Oryza sativa Japonica Group: one gene and its partner. The protein of the gene in region 2 interacts with the protein of the main gene of each other region in a pairwise test. Links are inferred from orthologs where the notes say so. Each region holds a gene or a part of one and is shown on either strand. Other genes may lie near its edges.

Evidence for each region. The genes of interacting proteins can lie anywhere in the genome.
Region 1: the proteins of CPK24 (region 2) and protein OXIDATIVE STRESS 3 LIKE 1 interact in binary tests that used the Arabidopsis thaliana proteins (3 or more experiments, as listed by UniProt). The link is inferred for Oryza sativa Japonica Group from reciprocal best matches to the Arabidopsis thaliana genes CPK4 and AT5G21940.

Annotation. Positions count from the first base shown.
Region 1 is NC_089036.1:33,458,561-33,466,525, forward strand, and holds protein OXIDATIVE STRESS 3 LIKE 1, read left to right. Parts: upstream 1-2,606; 5' UTR 2,607-2,660; coding exon 2,661-2,947; intron 2,948-4,733; coding exon 4,734-5,220; 3' UTR 5,221-5,558; downstream 5,559-7,965. Other genes in the region: endoglucanase 8 precursor, read left to right, coding at 1-613. UniProt on the Arabidopsis thaliana protein: Promotes slightly the tolerance to zinc (Zn) and to oxidizing chemicals (e.g. diamide).
Region 2 is NC_089045.1:3,543,631-3,551,748, reverse strand, and holds the start of CPK24 (calcium-dependent protein kinase 24), read left to right. Parts: upstream 1-3,658; 5' UTR 3,659-4,248; intron 4,249-4,338; 5' UTR 4,339-4,408; coding exon 4,409-5,012; intron 5,013-5,969; coding exon 5,970-6,113; intron 6,114-6,199; coding exon 6,200-6,352; intron 6,353-6,462; coding exon 6,463-6,578; intron 6,579-7,135; coding exon 7,136-7,303; intron 7,304-7,552; coding exon 7,553-7,777; intron 7,778-7,863; coding exon 7,864-7,995; 3' UTR 7,996-8,118. UniProt on the Arabidopsis thaliana protein: May play a role in signal transduction pathways that involve calcium as a second messenger. Functions as a regulator of the calcium-mediated abscisic acid (ABA) signaling pathway. Phosphorylates ABA-responsive transcription factors ABF1 and ABF4 in vitro.

The DNA of each region.
Region 1 (7,965 bases), on a different chromosome or scaffold from region 2:
CATGACATCCAGCGGCGGCCTCCAGAGCTTCAAGTCCCAGGCCGACAACTTCGTGTGCGCCGTGCTCCCGGACACCCCGTTCCACCAGGTGTCCATCACCCCGGGCGGCATGATCCACCTCCGCGACGGCGCCAACTCCCAGTACGTCACCAGCACGGCCTTCCTCTTCGTCGCCTACAGCGACATCCTCCGCCGGATCAACCAGCCGGTGATGTGCGGCGCCCAGGCCGTGCAGCCCGCCCGCCTCCTCCAGTTCGCCAAGCAGCAGATCGACTACCTCCTCGGCGCCAACCCGCGCGGCCGCTCCTACGTCGTCGGCTTCGGCGTCAACCCGCCCACGCAGCCGCACCACCGCGGCGCCTCCACCCCGGTGCTCCCCCCGGGCTACCAGGTCAACTGCGGGATGAGCTTCAGCGAGTGGTTCACCCCCGACCGGCCCAACCCCAACGAGCTCACCGGCGCGATCATGGGCGGCCCCGACGGCGGCGACAACTTCTCCGACAAGCGTGGCAACTCGTCCTGCACCGAGCCTTGCACGTACATCAACTCCCTCTCCATTGGCCCCCTCGCCGCCCTCGCCATCCGTGGCCCAAACCTCATCGCCACCCAGTAATTAATCACCATTATTATACACTGATTAATTACTGCTAAATTAACTAAAGATATTGAGTATATTACTATATTACTCCTCCTCCCCTGTATTAAATCTCGACGATATATACAAATTAATTTGTTGATTAATCGGAATCGAAATTAGAGCTGATGCATGCATGGACACGTGAGGTGATCGATCGGGCACACGATCGATCGATGACACGAACGAACAATTAATAACGCGAGAAAGGGCTCGCGCGAGTTGTTGGGGTAGGTCTCGGCTGGTCGTTAGGTTGGCCAGCTTATTTCTCGTTGCACGCACGCACGCACGTACGTACGCAGGCGCGCGCAACCGTGTGTAAGTGCGTGTGTGATGGATCGATCAACCGAGCGGCGCGCACGGGCGAATACGAACTTTTCCAAGTGATGAAGTGATCACGTATACACGTAGTACAGCAGCCGAGCTTTTCGGTGAGCGTGTACGACGTGTTTTTTTCATTGGACCGAACATAAAACATGTCAAGTACGTACGTGGTACGTTTGGTTAATGCATAAATGTATTTGTGGTTCTTCAAATCCCGTGCTCAGGTATGAATTAATTAATCTAGCTAGCTATATGGTGTACTATCTTGTACGAAGAAGAACATCTCTGATGCTGTATATCTTTGTGATGTATACTACACGCACAATAAATTATCTAGTTTGGTGCTATCATTTTATTGTGTCCTTCTCGTTTTTTCAAAATTTTAATTTATTCGTAACATTGTGTATGATGTGTGAAAACTATAATAATTGGTTGTAGCTTTTATTAAAGTAAAGACCCGAATTCTCATTATCTAAAAAAAACATTGTTGATCAATATCTTGATATCCCCTTTATTATACATCAGCTTTGGAGAGAAGGAAAAAAAATACATGTATTTATTTGACAATTGGTTTTCTGAATTACAAAAGGGGTCCTTGTCCAGTTGTCTTGAACTATAACCTTCCATTTTTTGAGTTCATTTTTATCATTTCTAGCACAAATAATAAATTGTACTAAATCAACCCCATCTGCAACCATTAGATCAGTAACCAACACCACCAGATAATGCCTACTTTACCAACACCACTAACAAAACCATTAGGGGAATAGGTGTACTTGTGGTAAATGAGGCAGTGATGCAGCGCAAAGGCAGGTACCAATTTATCCTTACAAAAGTTAAAATCACAAAGGTGGGTGACCTTGATGAACATTAGTTAGCAATGTACCGCAAAGAAAACATTAGGTAGCAATGAAGACAATCACTCTCTTAATAATCTATATGTTGTTTGCACTTAAGTTGTAATGTAAGTAACTCTTGGATTTAAGCATACGTTAGATTCTGCTGAGATAGACATATATTTATTCGACCGAGCTTAGTCAAACTATAGATGTTGGAATAAAAATGCTCGATTTATTTTAGAACTAACTCATTGGTGGATGATTGGGATTGGTTGTCGATTTGTCGTAACGAATTTATTGGATTGGATGGGATTGGTTCAATTTCGCTTCTATGTCCAAAATTGCATCGTCTTCTACTTTAACGGTATTAGCTTGGCATGTTGTTATTTGGCACAACTCTCTATTAAAGTCGTGTCCTTTCGGCTATTGGGTACCAATCTAGAGTCATGTCTCTTTTCACTTGTTTAATATATAATCTCTCAAATGGAGTGCATATCATTGTTTTTCTTTACGGGTTATCTAAATGTATGAGAAATTATTTAAAGCTAAAAAAAGTTCGGGGCAAATCTTTACTTATATATTACTACTCCATCTTTCTTTGCACATTTGCAAACTCAGGCAGAAAAGGGAAATAAAAAAGGGAATCAACCTGCCCTCCTTTTGCAGCATAAATACCCAACCCATCACTCCACAAAGAAAAAAAAAAGCCACTCTCTCGCGATTTCCCTAGTCTTTCGGTGTGCGTGCGCGTGTGAAGGCGAGCAAGCGAGCGAAAGCGAAAGAAGCAGCAAGCAGCAAGAGGAGGAGGCGGAGGCGGCCTCCTTTGCATGTGAGGAGAGAGAGGAGGTGAGGTGAGGGGGGCCATGTCGATCGCACTGGAGAGTGGGCCCGGGCTAGGAGGAGGAGGAGGGGGCGGCGGCGGGCCCCGGTTCGGCCGCGTCGCCCGCTGCGCCTACGCCGCCTCGCCGCCGCCGGCGTCGGTGGGGGCGCGCAGCTCGTCGTCGGTGGGGAGGGACAGCGACAGCCCCGCGGCGGCGGCCAAGTGGGAGTGGGACGGCGAGGAGGTGGAGGGCGGCGACGGCGAGGTGCAGAGCTCGTACAAGGGGCCCTTCGACACCATGGACGCGCTCCAGGAGGCCCTCCCCTTCAGGTATGGCTGGCTTCCCCTCCCCGCCCAATTCGTCGTTACCCCCACGGATCTTGATCGGTCCCGAGGTGTTCTTGCGTTTCGTTTGGGTGATTTGGGGGTAATGCGGGGTAGAAACCGCTGTTCTTGATCCCCCGGTGCGCGTGTTCCTCTAGAGAGATTTCGGGGGTTTCTTGATTCGTTTGGACCAATGCAGTGGAAAATACTGGTTCTTGATCGGTTTTAGTTGGGGAATGTAGGCAAGATTCTTGGTTCTTCGTGGACGGTTAGTGGTCATGGAGTAATTTGTATGGAGCGGTTTGGTTATCTATCCTTGAGTCGATGCTTATCTTGGAATTTGGGGGATTTATTGGTCGGACTGAAGTCAAACTGTTAAAAGAAAGAAAGAAAGAAAGAAAGAGCTAATTTAGGGTTCTAGGTGATTCTTTGTGCCGCCTTACATCCAACAAATTTGTGAACATGGGTTTCGATCGATTCGTGAAGCTGGGATATTTGAGGTCGGAAGAATACAGCGAATGCACTGGATGCCGGGATACTTTTGCGTATGGTTTCGTCATGCTTGCTTATTGTTGGTTCATGTTTGGGTTATACCCATAACCCATTAGGGGTCGATTATATTTTTGTAAGTAGTAGTCCTTAATGTTCTTGCCATGCCCTTAAAATCTTTATGCTGAATGTTCTGAGCACGAAAGGTTCTGATTAGACAATTTCTAATGCGTTTGTATAGGCTTCAGCAAGAATGACTTGTGATTAGTACTACTTTGTTGGTGTTTCACTTCATTCTTACTCCGAGGAATCAAAGGATCCTAGCACTTGAATATTTCATTTGAAGTCCATGCCATCTTATAATTTCAGAAGGGCACATTAGTTGTACTAACACTGAAAGACCAATTTCCATGATTCATAGTTCCTTTGGTATGTGTTGATACTTGATATTGACTATATAAGCGCAGTATTATGGGATGAAATCACACAAAACGGGTTTTATCAGAATTACAAAAAGTTCTATGGTGTATTAATGGTTGGGTTTCTTTGTTAATGATCAATACAATAGATGGTGTAAATTGCAGATATGTGCATCTTTGACAAAAGCAATGAATAATCTATCTTCTAGGTTGGTCGTAGTAATGACTTTGAGTTTGTTCGTTTGTGTTCTTGCAACCTGACTATTGTGTACAGGGGGGGTAGGCATAGCTCTGAGATCAGTTGATGCATATTACCTTCAGGCAGTAATATTTTTGTCATGAAGATATCATGAATTGTTATAATTTTTGCATAGGGACATTTTTTTTTTCTTTTGAGCATGCACAACTACTGTACAATTTCGCTACTGCTATTTGAATTCTTTCAGTACTAGTGTAAGTCTAGCACAACTACTTAGTAGCTGAGTGGGTTTGTAGTTCATACTACCAAGTACCTATTGGCCCTTGTCACTTGTAGTCGCATAGAATTGTGCATTCTAGCCATATGATGGAAGCAGAGATTGGGTATTGTGAACTTGAAGTCTTGAACACAATTCAATATGGCTAACATGATTAACACAGGAACAGGATCAGTCAGACACCACAATCTTTTTCACATGCTTTTGTTAGCTATCTTGTAGCATGTGTAATTATTTGTTGATCTGCAACATTAAAATATTCCGCAGCCTGTCTCTATCGTTGATCTGGCAAACTTGTTTGTCTGTTCCTTGTGAGGAGCATGTGTACTGCTGATGTTTTCCAAGTCTTTGCTCCAGCATCTTACAATCTTCTGTTTTATTGAGTAATTCTGTTCTTATCTATTGCAGGAAAGGGGTATGCAAGTTCTACAATGGCAAGTCTGGATCTTTTGCAAAGCTTCAAGATTCCGTGATCCCATCTCCACCTGAGAAAAGTCTTCCAAAGCCAGAAAACCCATCCCCTAGGAAGCGGAAAGGTCTTCTTCCGTTCAGTTTCAAGTGGGGCAAGCCACAGAACAAAGAGGTATTCCCTGAAGATGATGTGATCATCAGCCCTACAAATTGCAGGAGAATGACATTGTCACCAGCTGCAACAAGCAGTTCGGGGAGCAACAGCGGCAGTGATGATGAACACTACCGCTCTCCGAAGCTGCATACCCGTCAGCCACTCCGAAGGCCCAGCAATGCCGCCATGGGTGTCTTTGCTTCTCCACCTGCACCTCGTCCACCGCAGGTGTTATCAGCTCATATGAGATCACACTCGATGCTTGATCTGCAGGATGTGACAGAGTCGACCGCCATGGTTTCTCCCAGGGACAAGCGAAGGAGGAACTAGGAAGGGTGGATCTTGATGTGTTGTCGGTCTGGTCCAACCGCTGGTGCCCATTTTAGACTGCGGAATCCAGTGGCGAATGCCGTCGTGGTGGTAGGGCGCGTGCAATGCTTTAGGGGGGTGGGGGGTGTTTTGCGAGGTCAAATGGACTCGTATTCATAGAGCTTGCTGTTCTCCTTATACTTGATGTACTGGGATACATACAGAGAACCTGAGAAACTGATGTCGTTACCTGAGTTGGTGGGCTGCATGCGTTGATTACAGGTTGACTTGTAAATGCTGAACTCTGCTTTTGTCGATTATAATTCAATCATGTGGCCTGCTCTATTACATTTTGTATACCTCTCTGATCTGTGGTATCTCACCCTTGGAACTGTATCAGTATGCATATTATGTCCTGAGCTGTTGGTGTTCTTCTGTTGCTAGTACAACTGTACAAGTAGCAGCAACCTCTTCCGATGAACTTATCTGTGCAGATCCATCACTTTTTTTTTTAGAACATGCAGATCCATCACATAGTTTTGGATAAATCATTCTGCTCTTATGGGTACTGGTGTGCAAAGCGCAAGGATTTTGTTTTTTTGGCAGAAGATAATCTATTGCAGTACACACGCAGATTGTGTGAACGCCTTGGCAAATCCTGTTGGTCGGTTTCGTACTTTCATCTTCTGTTTTCGTGTTCGGAAGAGATTGCAGTGGCTGTGCAGCCGCAGCAGCTCCATCAAACGCAACAAAATTTCTACGGCTTTGTACTGTAGATACAGCCCAGCTGCGCCACAGCCGAGCAAGCTGCAAAGCAGCACAAGCGATTTGGTGGCACATGATTGCTGCTCTCGTTAATCTGACGCCTTCGGTAATCGGAACCTCCCACTCACAGCTGAAATTTGTTGTTTTCTCTATGCGTAGATCAAAACTGATCTTTCATATTTGTGTAAGGACATTTAAGACCTACTTCACTTTGTATTATTTAATTTTTATAAGATTTTAGTTAACTATTTGGACCACATGGACTAAATCTTAAAGCCCACAAATCTTGATAAGGCAAAATTGTATAAAGCACCCCAATTATCACTCGTTTTAAAATCTCCTCCCTTAAAAAATTCAATTCGTTGCAAAGGCCCACCCAACCAAACCCCTTCACATGAATATAAAGTCAGCCCGACCCCGCTGATGTGTAGTCGCAACAGGGGAACAGAGCTTGACCTTAGCTACTCTCTCTGTCCCAAACAGGGACGGAGCCAGCATTTTGAATCACTGGGGTCATGGCTTTTACTTGTATTTATGTCGTGTTTGAAACTATAATTATTCTCGAAGCTAGATATTTTTAGCTCACTTTTGAGCTAGAGCTATGAGTAAGTTGGGATTGTTCCATTTTGCTAAAAATAAATATTTAAAGTCTATTCTATAAGAACTTCTGAGGTTTTTAAGGTCCAAAATTTTAAAAGTTATGACTACATATAACCGGGCATAACAACCATGTGTTTTTTCAGACATACAAGTATGTTCTGAAAGTTGTTTATTATTCCATCTGTCTCAAAATACAACTACCTACGTCTTTTTAAGAGATTAATGTTAGGGTGTGAAATTATTGTGATTGGTTGGGAAAAAAAAGTAGGTGAAAAAAATTATATCGAGGAATTTTGTGATTGGAGATGGGATGGTTCATAGAAAATAGCTATATTTTAAAGCAAATTTGAATATTAGAAGTAACATATTTTGAGATAGAGTGAGTAACTTAAAAAACACATCTAGTAGTTGATTAGCAAAACTTCAGGCCTAATGCATTGATATACATAGCACATAGCTAAAATAAGTAGTTGGTTAATAGATCAAATATGTCTAATTGCAGCATTAGTAGCGGATTGACAGTAGCATAACACAGCTAACAAATTATGCTTCCAAAGAAATAAACGGTACAATTGTTTCAGCCTTCCTGAGCTCCAGCAGTTTATCAGGCTGGCCGGGGTCATTAAGCTTTTGTTGCTGGGGTCATTAGCTACAAAATAATGAACAATTCACTTGATTGATCGAATGTCATCAGGGTCTAATGACCCCAATGATAGTACTGCAGCTCCGCCCCTGATCCCAAAATATAAGCATTTTTAGCTATGAATCTGGATAACTGTACATTTAGATTTATAGCCAAAAGTTATTATATTTTAGGACGGATGTAGTAATTGCCTATACTGATTCGCCGCTACCCTCAGCCCTCGCGTTGTTCGAGACCGTCTTCTCTCTTTGATCTACACCTAGGACTAGGTTCAAATGGATGCACCTGAAACCAAACGTGACCCATTGGTCTGGTCTTTTACGGGTACAAGTCACGGGCTGACTCAGCTATTTACACACGTGGAGGGTTTGGGTGGGTGGGTTTTTGCAACAAATTGGTTTTACTAGAACTTTAGGCGCGCTTCGGGCCGCCCTACCGTTTGTTATTGGTAAAAAGTATCACAAGTCAGAATATGTATGTACTTATATTGGTAAATGTTGAGTACGAAAGGACTTCATTCTAGCACAGGCTGTGACATAACTTGAATTCCGATGTTACATGATGATTTGAAATAGACCCTGAATACTATAAGATAAAAAATACCTAATAATTTCAGAAACCACAATTATTTATCATACCCAAAAGAGCAAGAAAAGGTATAATAATGTACTTAAAAAACGGTTTAATCATTCATCCTCTTTTAAAAGAGGTTAATTCAGTTCCATTACGGGGCATGAATCACAAGTTGTAATGTGAAG
Region 2 (8,118 bases):
ATCAAACGTTGTATCTAAAAACTGAAAAATAGTGTCTTTGTGGGACGGGAAGTAGAATATAGATCGATCCACCACTTGTTACTTGACTTCAAAGTTTTCTGTGTTCATTCACAACTGCTTAGCTTGAGTGACTGACCAAGTGTAACGCGGAAAAGCATCATGAATGGCCATTACGTACAGGGTCATTTTCTCTGAAGGAGAACGATGTCTCAGACATGGAAGAGGACTGCACTGGCCATAAAATTCGGATGCTGATCTTTAAAAAAAAACCCGTAGTTTTCAAGCTTTTGATCTACTTTACACGTGTAAATATTAGTTGCCCTTGATTGCGCATTTCAAAAGCGACAAATCCTTAATCATTCTGAATATCTTCAAGTTTTGTCACGTTAGACGAAGTCGGTTTCGACGAACCGTAAGACGGATGGCATGCATAGTTGAATTTCAGTTTAAATTTTAAATTTAGGGAATAATAAAGGTGGTCAGATGGTGCGAAGTAAAGTTTAAAGCTTGTTCCTACACTGAATCTCTCAACATCACACTTTCTTCAGTTGTGCCATTATAAATTGAAATTGCCAACAGTTGCAGAGGCAACTCAAGGTCTCATTCTCAGAAAACTCATCAGTCAGTTTCAGTGAAAACCAAGGGTGGTTAACAGTAACCACCCCACCAATGAGTCCATGATCTGATGATCACACCTCTTGCAACATCTCAAGTTATTAACAGGCATACATATCATCTCCCATAAACAAAGAACATATATCATCCCTGATTAAAACATGAGTTTATCCTTGCAGGTTTGGTAGATGATCACAAAGTTGACAGTGATGGAAATGGGGTCCAATCCAATGCCATGCTCAGTGTCCTCATCCACTGTCTCACACAATCTCTATCACCATTTGTGGGCACCATGATTTCATCATCTCCTCCTTTCTTGCAAGCTATCATTAGTAGCCACTTCATTTCAACAAGAGAGTACTGAGGGGGTGTTTGGGAGAGAGGGAAACAATAAGTCCTTAGGGGAGGGACTTATGTCTCCCAAACACCCCCTGAAAGATGGACTGAGCCTTGGACAAATTCATGTCAAGCTATTATTTAGGAATTTTTGTGACATGGAAAGTTGTCAAGCTTGCCATTTTGAACGCCAAATCGTGGGTGAAAGTTAGCACGAGTACACAATTGTGTGATTAATTTGCTTCAGTGGTTAATGTCAGCAAATGCCTATGTACTAGTATTTCAGATATATTTCTTTTTTTCACATCAAAATCATGACGAAGTTAGTGAAAACATAGGATTGAAATAATTCATTTGTGGAGGAATAGAACTTATCATTGCACATGGATTTGGAATTTGGGATAGTGTTAGGTGGTCCTGAATTCTGATCGGAGCTCCCACCTACCGACCCAACAAATTCGTGTCTAGGTGGTGTTTGGATCAGGGACTTAACTTTAGTCTCTGTATTTAGACACTAATTTAGAGTATTAAATATAGACTACTTACAAAACTAATTACATAAATGAAAGCTAATTTGTGAGACAAATTTTTTAAGCCTAATTAATCTATAATTAGAGAATGTTTATTGTAGCATCACGTAGACTAATCATGGATTAATTAGGCTTAATAGATTCGTCTCGCGAATTAGTCTAAGATTATGGATGGATTGTCTAAACATCCGATGTGATAGGGAAAGTTTTAGTCCCATCTAAACAGGGTCTTAATCGGTCTTGATTAGTACAATAGTACGAACTAACAGTTATTTAGAGGGGCCAGTGCTAGAAGAAAACACACTTGGACCAGTTGGTCGGCCATTCAACCATGACATGTCTGTCTGATAGCACTGCTTCAAAATTCTAAAACAAATTCGAAAGCAGACTTCAAAGGAATCATAGGATGGTGCTACTAACTTCGGTTTTGAAAATACATCGTTTTGAGCATGTTTCAGGTTAAACTTAAAAAAACTCTAAACATCTAGTACATCTTATACTGAAAGTATGAAAATTATAAGTACAGACGTATTTTGATTATTATAATTTCAACATGCTAGTATATAAACATACTGTAAAATTAGCAGTCAAGGTTGCATTTTGAAGGCCATATGGATGTTCAAAATAATGTTTTCAAAACTGGAAGAAGTACTGTCAAGTAGGCTTTTTTTTAGCTATTTTTTAATCACACAAAATGCAGAATGATGACAGGATGGATACCTGATTTACTGAAAACCGTGTACAAAATGTTGAAGCTCTTATCTGGTGTACAAAAAGTTGAAGAAAATTAACATTTGGCAAGGAAGATGCACCTGCCCAAAGGAATGAGTCAAGATGCAATGGAATGGAAAGAATAAACAAGAAGAAGGGAAGTGTACGAAACAAAGAAAGAGCTAATGGATCCAATGAAACCTTTGGACATTATCTAAAAAAAAAAACCTTTGGATTCCTACTGTTGTCTCTGTCGTCCTAACCTTATACAGCAACAATTTCCCGTGAACTCATGTTCAGAGAAAAGAAAAAAAAATCGTTTGTACCCATTGTCTGAAGAAATATTCCAAATCCGAGATTCCAGTAAAGTATAGCTGAAATATGAAGAAAACTAGCAGTGACTAAAAGAAATTTGTTCTCCGCATAAAAGACTCTTTTCGAGAGGACATAATATTGATAATATACAGGACCAAGAGAAGCAGTTTATTGGAAATGCAATTACAAAATAAAAGAGCATAGAGCATAGGGAAAGCATATGAATAACTTTATAGATAGATTATAGAAAAAATACATGAATTTATGGAGAAATAGAGACTCAGAGAAAAATATTTCACAAGGTCAGCTCCATTATTTGCTATTCAGCTTATCCGTCGTAACCAAAATTTAAATTTTAGAGTTAATTTTATTTTTACCGTACTTTATTTTTTAATATTGTCTTTTAAATTGCTAATAACACATATATAAAAGTTTACCCATACTGTTTTTTATCGTAAATACGCATTACGGTTTATAATCGGCTTCCTTAAGGCATTCCAACGAAACTTTATAGGATTATAAAATTTGATATAGACAAAAATAACTTACATAGCAAATGCTAAAAATTTCATACACAAAACCTACTCGATTTGAATCTTTTTAGGACAACGCTTTTCACTTCATATTATAAAAGCTTTGACTTTTTTTTGTCAAATTTTTTAAGTTTGATTAAATCTATAAAAAAAGTATAGCAATATCTCTAACAAAAATAAATAGGATGGGCGAACGACGGGAATTGAACCCGCGCATGGTGGATTCACAATCCACTGCCTTGATCAACTTGGCTACATCCGTCCCTTATCCAGCTAAAGGATTTTCTCATATCATCAAAATATATTCAATGTTATATTTAATAAAACTAACTTGATATTATAAATATTGTCAATTTTTTAAATAAACTTAGTTAAACCTAAATAAGCTTGACTAGAAAAAAAATTCAAAATGACTCGTAATATTTACAAACGGAGTGAGTAGAAAATAGGTTGACACAAAGAAAAATGTAAGGAACAGCAAAAAAAAAAAAAAAAAACAAACAAGAAAGAAAATAGAAATTCGAAGAGAAGGTTCCAACCAAGCATACCATCTTCTCCTTCTCCTTCCTCCTGCCTTCGTTCTTGTCTTGTCACACCCATGGAGGAGGAGAAAAAGGCATAGATACGACCTGGCTGCCCTCACAAAAATACTTCACCAAACCACCCTCCTCCTCCTCCCCCTTTACCATTTCCAAGTTCCAACCCCCAAAAAAAATCCAACCAAAAAGCGGAGATTTTCCAACTCTTATCATCTCCTCCTCCTCCTCCTCGTCATCGTCATCACCAGCACACACCCGAGAGAAAAAAATCCTATAAAGAAATGGATTGAGCCATCACCCAACGCCGCCAAGATCCTGTCCTCTTGTGTGCGCAACCTGTAGCTCCACCTCCACGCAGGATCAACACCCAAATCCCCCCATCTTCTTTTCTTTTTCGTTTCGTTTCTGCAAGATTTGCATCTTCTTCTTCTTCCTCCGAGGAGTGAGTGACACCTGAGATAGCGAGAGCGAGATTTTCTTCGGTTTTTTTGTTCCTCTTTTTGGCCATAAACCTCCCATAAAGCTCGGTTTCTTGGTTCGTTTTTTCTTTCTTTCTTCCTCTCCTTCGAGAATCGCCCGAGTGTGAAATCCAAGATCCCGAATTCCGTGTCTTCTTCTTCTTCCGTAGAAATCCCGGGGTGGGCAAAGCGGTGGGATTTCTGGAGAGGGGTAAATGAGCTTCCGTTTCTCGATTGGTTCTTGATCGCGTCTCCTCTCTCTCTCGAATTCATTAGCTTCTCTTCGATTCTTTGATTTCAGGGAGAGCGCTACAAGGCAAGAAGCTTGGGTGTCCGTAGTCCGTACGGTTCTTGATCTGGGGTCGCCGCCAATGCAGCCGGACCCGAGCGGGAGCGGCGGCGACGGCAACGCCAATGCGAAGGCGAAGCTGGCGCCGCCGCCGGTGACGGCGGCGGGAGGTCGGCCGGTGTCGGTGCTGCCGCACAAGACGGCGAACGTGCGCGACCACTACCGCATCGGGAAGAAGCTCGGGCAGGGGCAGTTCGGGACGACGTACCTGTGCGTGGACAAGGCGAGCGGCGGCGAGTTCGCGTGCAAGTCCATCCCCAAGCGGAAGCTGCTGTGCCGGGAGGACTACGAGGACGTGTGGCGCGAGATCCAGATCATGCACCACCTCTCCGAGCACCCCAACGTCGTCCGCATCCGCGGCGCCTACGAGGACGCGCTGTTCGTCCACATCGTCATGGAGCTCTGCGCCGGCGGCGAGCTCTTCGACCGCATCGTCGCCAAGGGCCACTACACCGAGCGCGCCGCCGCGCAGCTCATCCGCACCATCGTCGCCGTCGTCGAGGGATGCCACTCGCTCGGCGTCATGCACCGGGACCTCAAGCCCGAGAACTTCCTCTTCGCCAGCGCCGCCGAGGACGCCCCCCTCAAGGCCACTGATTTCGGCCTCTCCATGTTCTACAAGCCTGGTATGTGTGGTTTCTTAGTTTCACATTTGCTCATTTTGGTAAGCAATTCGTTGTTGTTATTGTTCATGTGTTTGCATTAAAATTGTGTACTGCTTATGTTGCATTCAAATGACTAAGTCGGAGCTTTGTTTATAGCTTGCCTTGGTTGAATCAATTAAGCTTAGTAATAGTTCTTTCATACATTGTTCATTTGGCTGTCTTCAGATTAATTGAACTCAGCAATAGTTCTTGCATACATTGTTCATTTTGCTGGAAGACAGCTTACTTGTCTGCTAGATTCTTACTTACTTGTGGCCCATCTGTCCTTCTGTTACACCCTGGTCTGCACTCATACATTGGGTTTTGGGTTTGAATAAATGAGGCTGAGATATGTGTGTGGTATGACATTGATATGATAATGGGAGAGGGAATTGAAACGTTCTTGGGTTCTAGCTGGAAACTCAATCTGTGCAAGTTAGTCCATTTTTGAGAAAAGGAATACCACAAACAGTTCCTACATCCTAGTACTAGTAACTTTGATGTAAATGGCAATAGTACTGCTTTTGTGGTTTATCTCATTTGAACTTTTTAATGCATGTCAAATATTTTTTATGATATTGTGATAGTTGCCAGCTGGTAATTTTCGCAAGGAACCATTAAGTATTTAAGTGCTCTTATGATTACGTTATGTAACCTTAAAATGGGTAGGGAAGAGGTATCTTTGTCTCCATGTAGTCACTATTCAGCTAAGTCTAGTTCAATGGTAGTGTTATGTATTGTTGGACATGAGATTGGTTGCAAATTGCCTAATTTAGGAAGATGATGTGAAATGCAGTGTCATACCTACTGCTACCACCATCGCCATTGTTGTTGTTCCTTATTTGTTTGTATCTGTACTGTGTATTTTGACTTGGATCTTGTCAGGAATGCTGTATGAGTCATGTTAAGTTTATGAAACTCTGATTTTCATTTCCTCAGGTGATAAGTTCTCTGATGTTGTTGGGAGCCCCTATTATGTTGCACCTGAGGTACTTCAGAAATGCTATGGTCCAGAATCTGATGTCTGGAGTGCTGGGGTAATTCTTTACATTTTGCTATGTGGTGTTCCACCATTTTGGGCAGGTAAATTATTTGCCACTAAACAACTAAATTAGTAGGTCCCTCCAAATTCTCACGTTTCCATTGTCATATTGTCTCTTGCCTTGCAGAAACTGAAGCTGGAATTTTCAGGCAGATTCTACGAGGCAAACTTGATTTTGAATCTGAACCCTGGCCTAGCATCTCTGACAGTGCTAAAGATCTAGTCCGTAATATGCTTTGCCGGGATCCTACAAAGAGACTTACAGCCCATGAGGTTCTCTGTAAGTCAACCCTGTTTCCTACTCTTACTCGCCATAGGTCTGCTTTGCTTAAATATGACATAGGTAGGATGTCTTCTTTTTTCTCCTTGTGATGGCATTGCCTATTCCAGGTCATCCATGGATTGTTGATGATGCTGTGGCACCTGACAAGCCTATTGATTCTGCTGTTTTGTCAAGACTGAAGCACTTTTCGGCAATGAACAAGCTCAAGAAGATGGCATTGAGGGTACGGAGATTTGTCTATAAGTTTGTGATTCAATTATTTGCTTATTTCAATTACTCTCAGGTTGACCTTGTTTGCCTCATATATGAAAGGCACCTGACAAGTCTCATTTTCTCCCCTGATTTGTTTGTAGGAAATGAATCTCACTGTTAACTTCATTTACTTATAAAAGTCTTGCATCTGTGGAATTCAAAAAATAATTAAGTGTTGATATATTCTACAACCATGTGCATTTTTAGTAGAGAGAGCTATCTGATCTCTTGAATCATGATGCCTCTTTTCATCCATTGACACCACCTTTGTTTGAACCCAGGTTCATTTGGAATATATCCAGTAACTATTCTGTTCAGGTCAATGTTAACTAAGATGATGTAGCAAACTGATTCTTTCTGACATTTGTTTGGGGCTACACGAAACCTGTTTCCTTGGCAGCCCAGACACTTAATGCATTATAGGCATCGTAGTTTTTCTTTTCTTTTGAAATGCTCGATCTAGCTTGTGAAACATGCAATGATCATCTTGAGCTCTTTACATATTGTTAAGTATCTTTCATTTTGCAGGTTATTGCTGAAAGCCTGTCTGAGGAAGAGATTGGAGGACTAAAGGAGCTATTCAAAATGATTGATACTGACGATAGTGGAACTATAACTTTTGATGAGCTGAAAGAGGGCTTGAAAAGGGTGGGTTCAGAATTAACAGAACATGAAATCCAGGCTTTAATGGAAGCGGTAAGTGCTTCTTTGTTAGTTGATCCTTCAGGGAAATGTAACTTGCAGGGGCCTTCTGATCCTCAGCATTTTGTATTTCTTGCATGCTGTAATTTTTATGTCTCGTAATTTACATCTCGGCATCTCTCTTGCCTTTGCTAAAATGGAAAAGAAAAATCCTTCACTAGGAAAGAAAGGTGTTTTGTATTAAGATTTAAGATAGCATGTCTTGCTGCTTTTGCTAAATTGTAATATGTTCATTTGTTTCAGGCTGATATCGACAACAGTGGAACCATCGACTATGGTGAATTCATTGCTGCTACTCTCCACATGAATAAGCTAGAGAGGGAGGAAAACTTAGTATCAGCATTCTCATTTTTCGACAAAGATGGAAGTGGTTTCATAACTATTGATGAGCTGTCACAAGCATGCCGCGAATTTGGCCTTGATGATCTTCACCTTGAGGATATGATTAAAGATGTTGATCAAAACAATGTGAGTTGTTCTTATACTCTGCATTCTGTAGTTTGTCCAATTTTTGACTTGTTTGTTCACCAATTGATTTCTTCACCCGTTTTCAGGACGGACAAATTGACTACAGCGAGTTCACGGCGATGATGAGAAAGGGCAATGCTGGTGGAGCTGGAAGGAGAACCATGAGGAACAGCTTGCAGTTGAATCTTGGTGAGATCTTGAACCCCAGCAACAGCTAAACTCCTACAGGAAGGCCATGGCTGTTACATGCCATCATTGTCTGAATCTCTGCACGCCTCATCAGCTGGACTAATCTCTAAGAGGGCAAAGCCGTTGAGTGAATTGTGCTTTGGCGTTACATG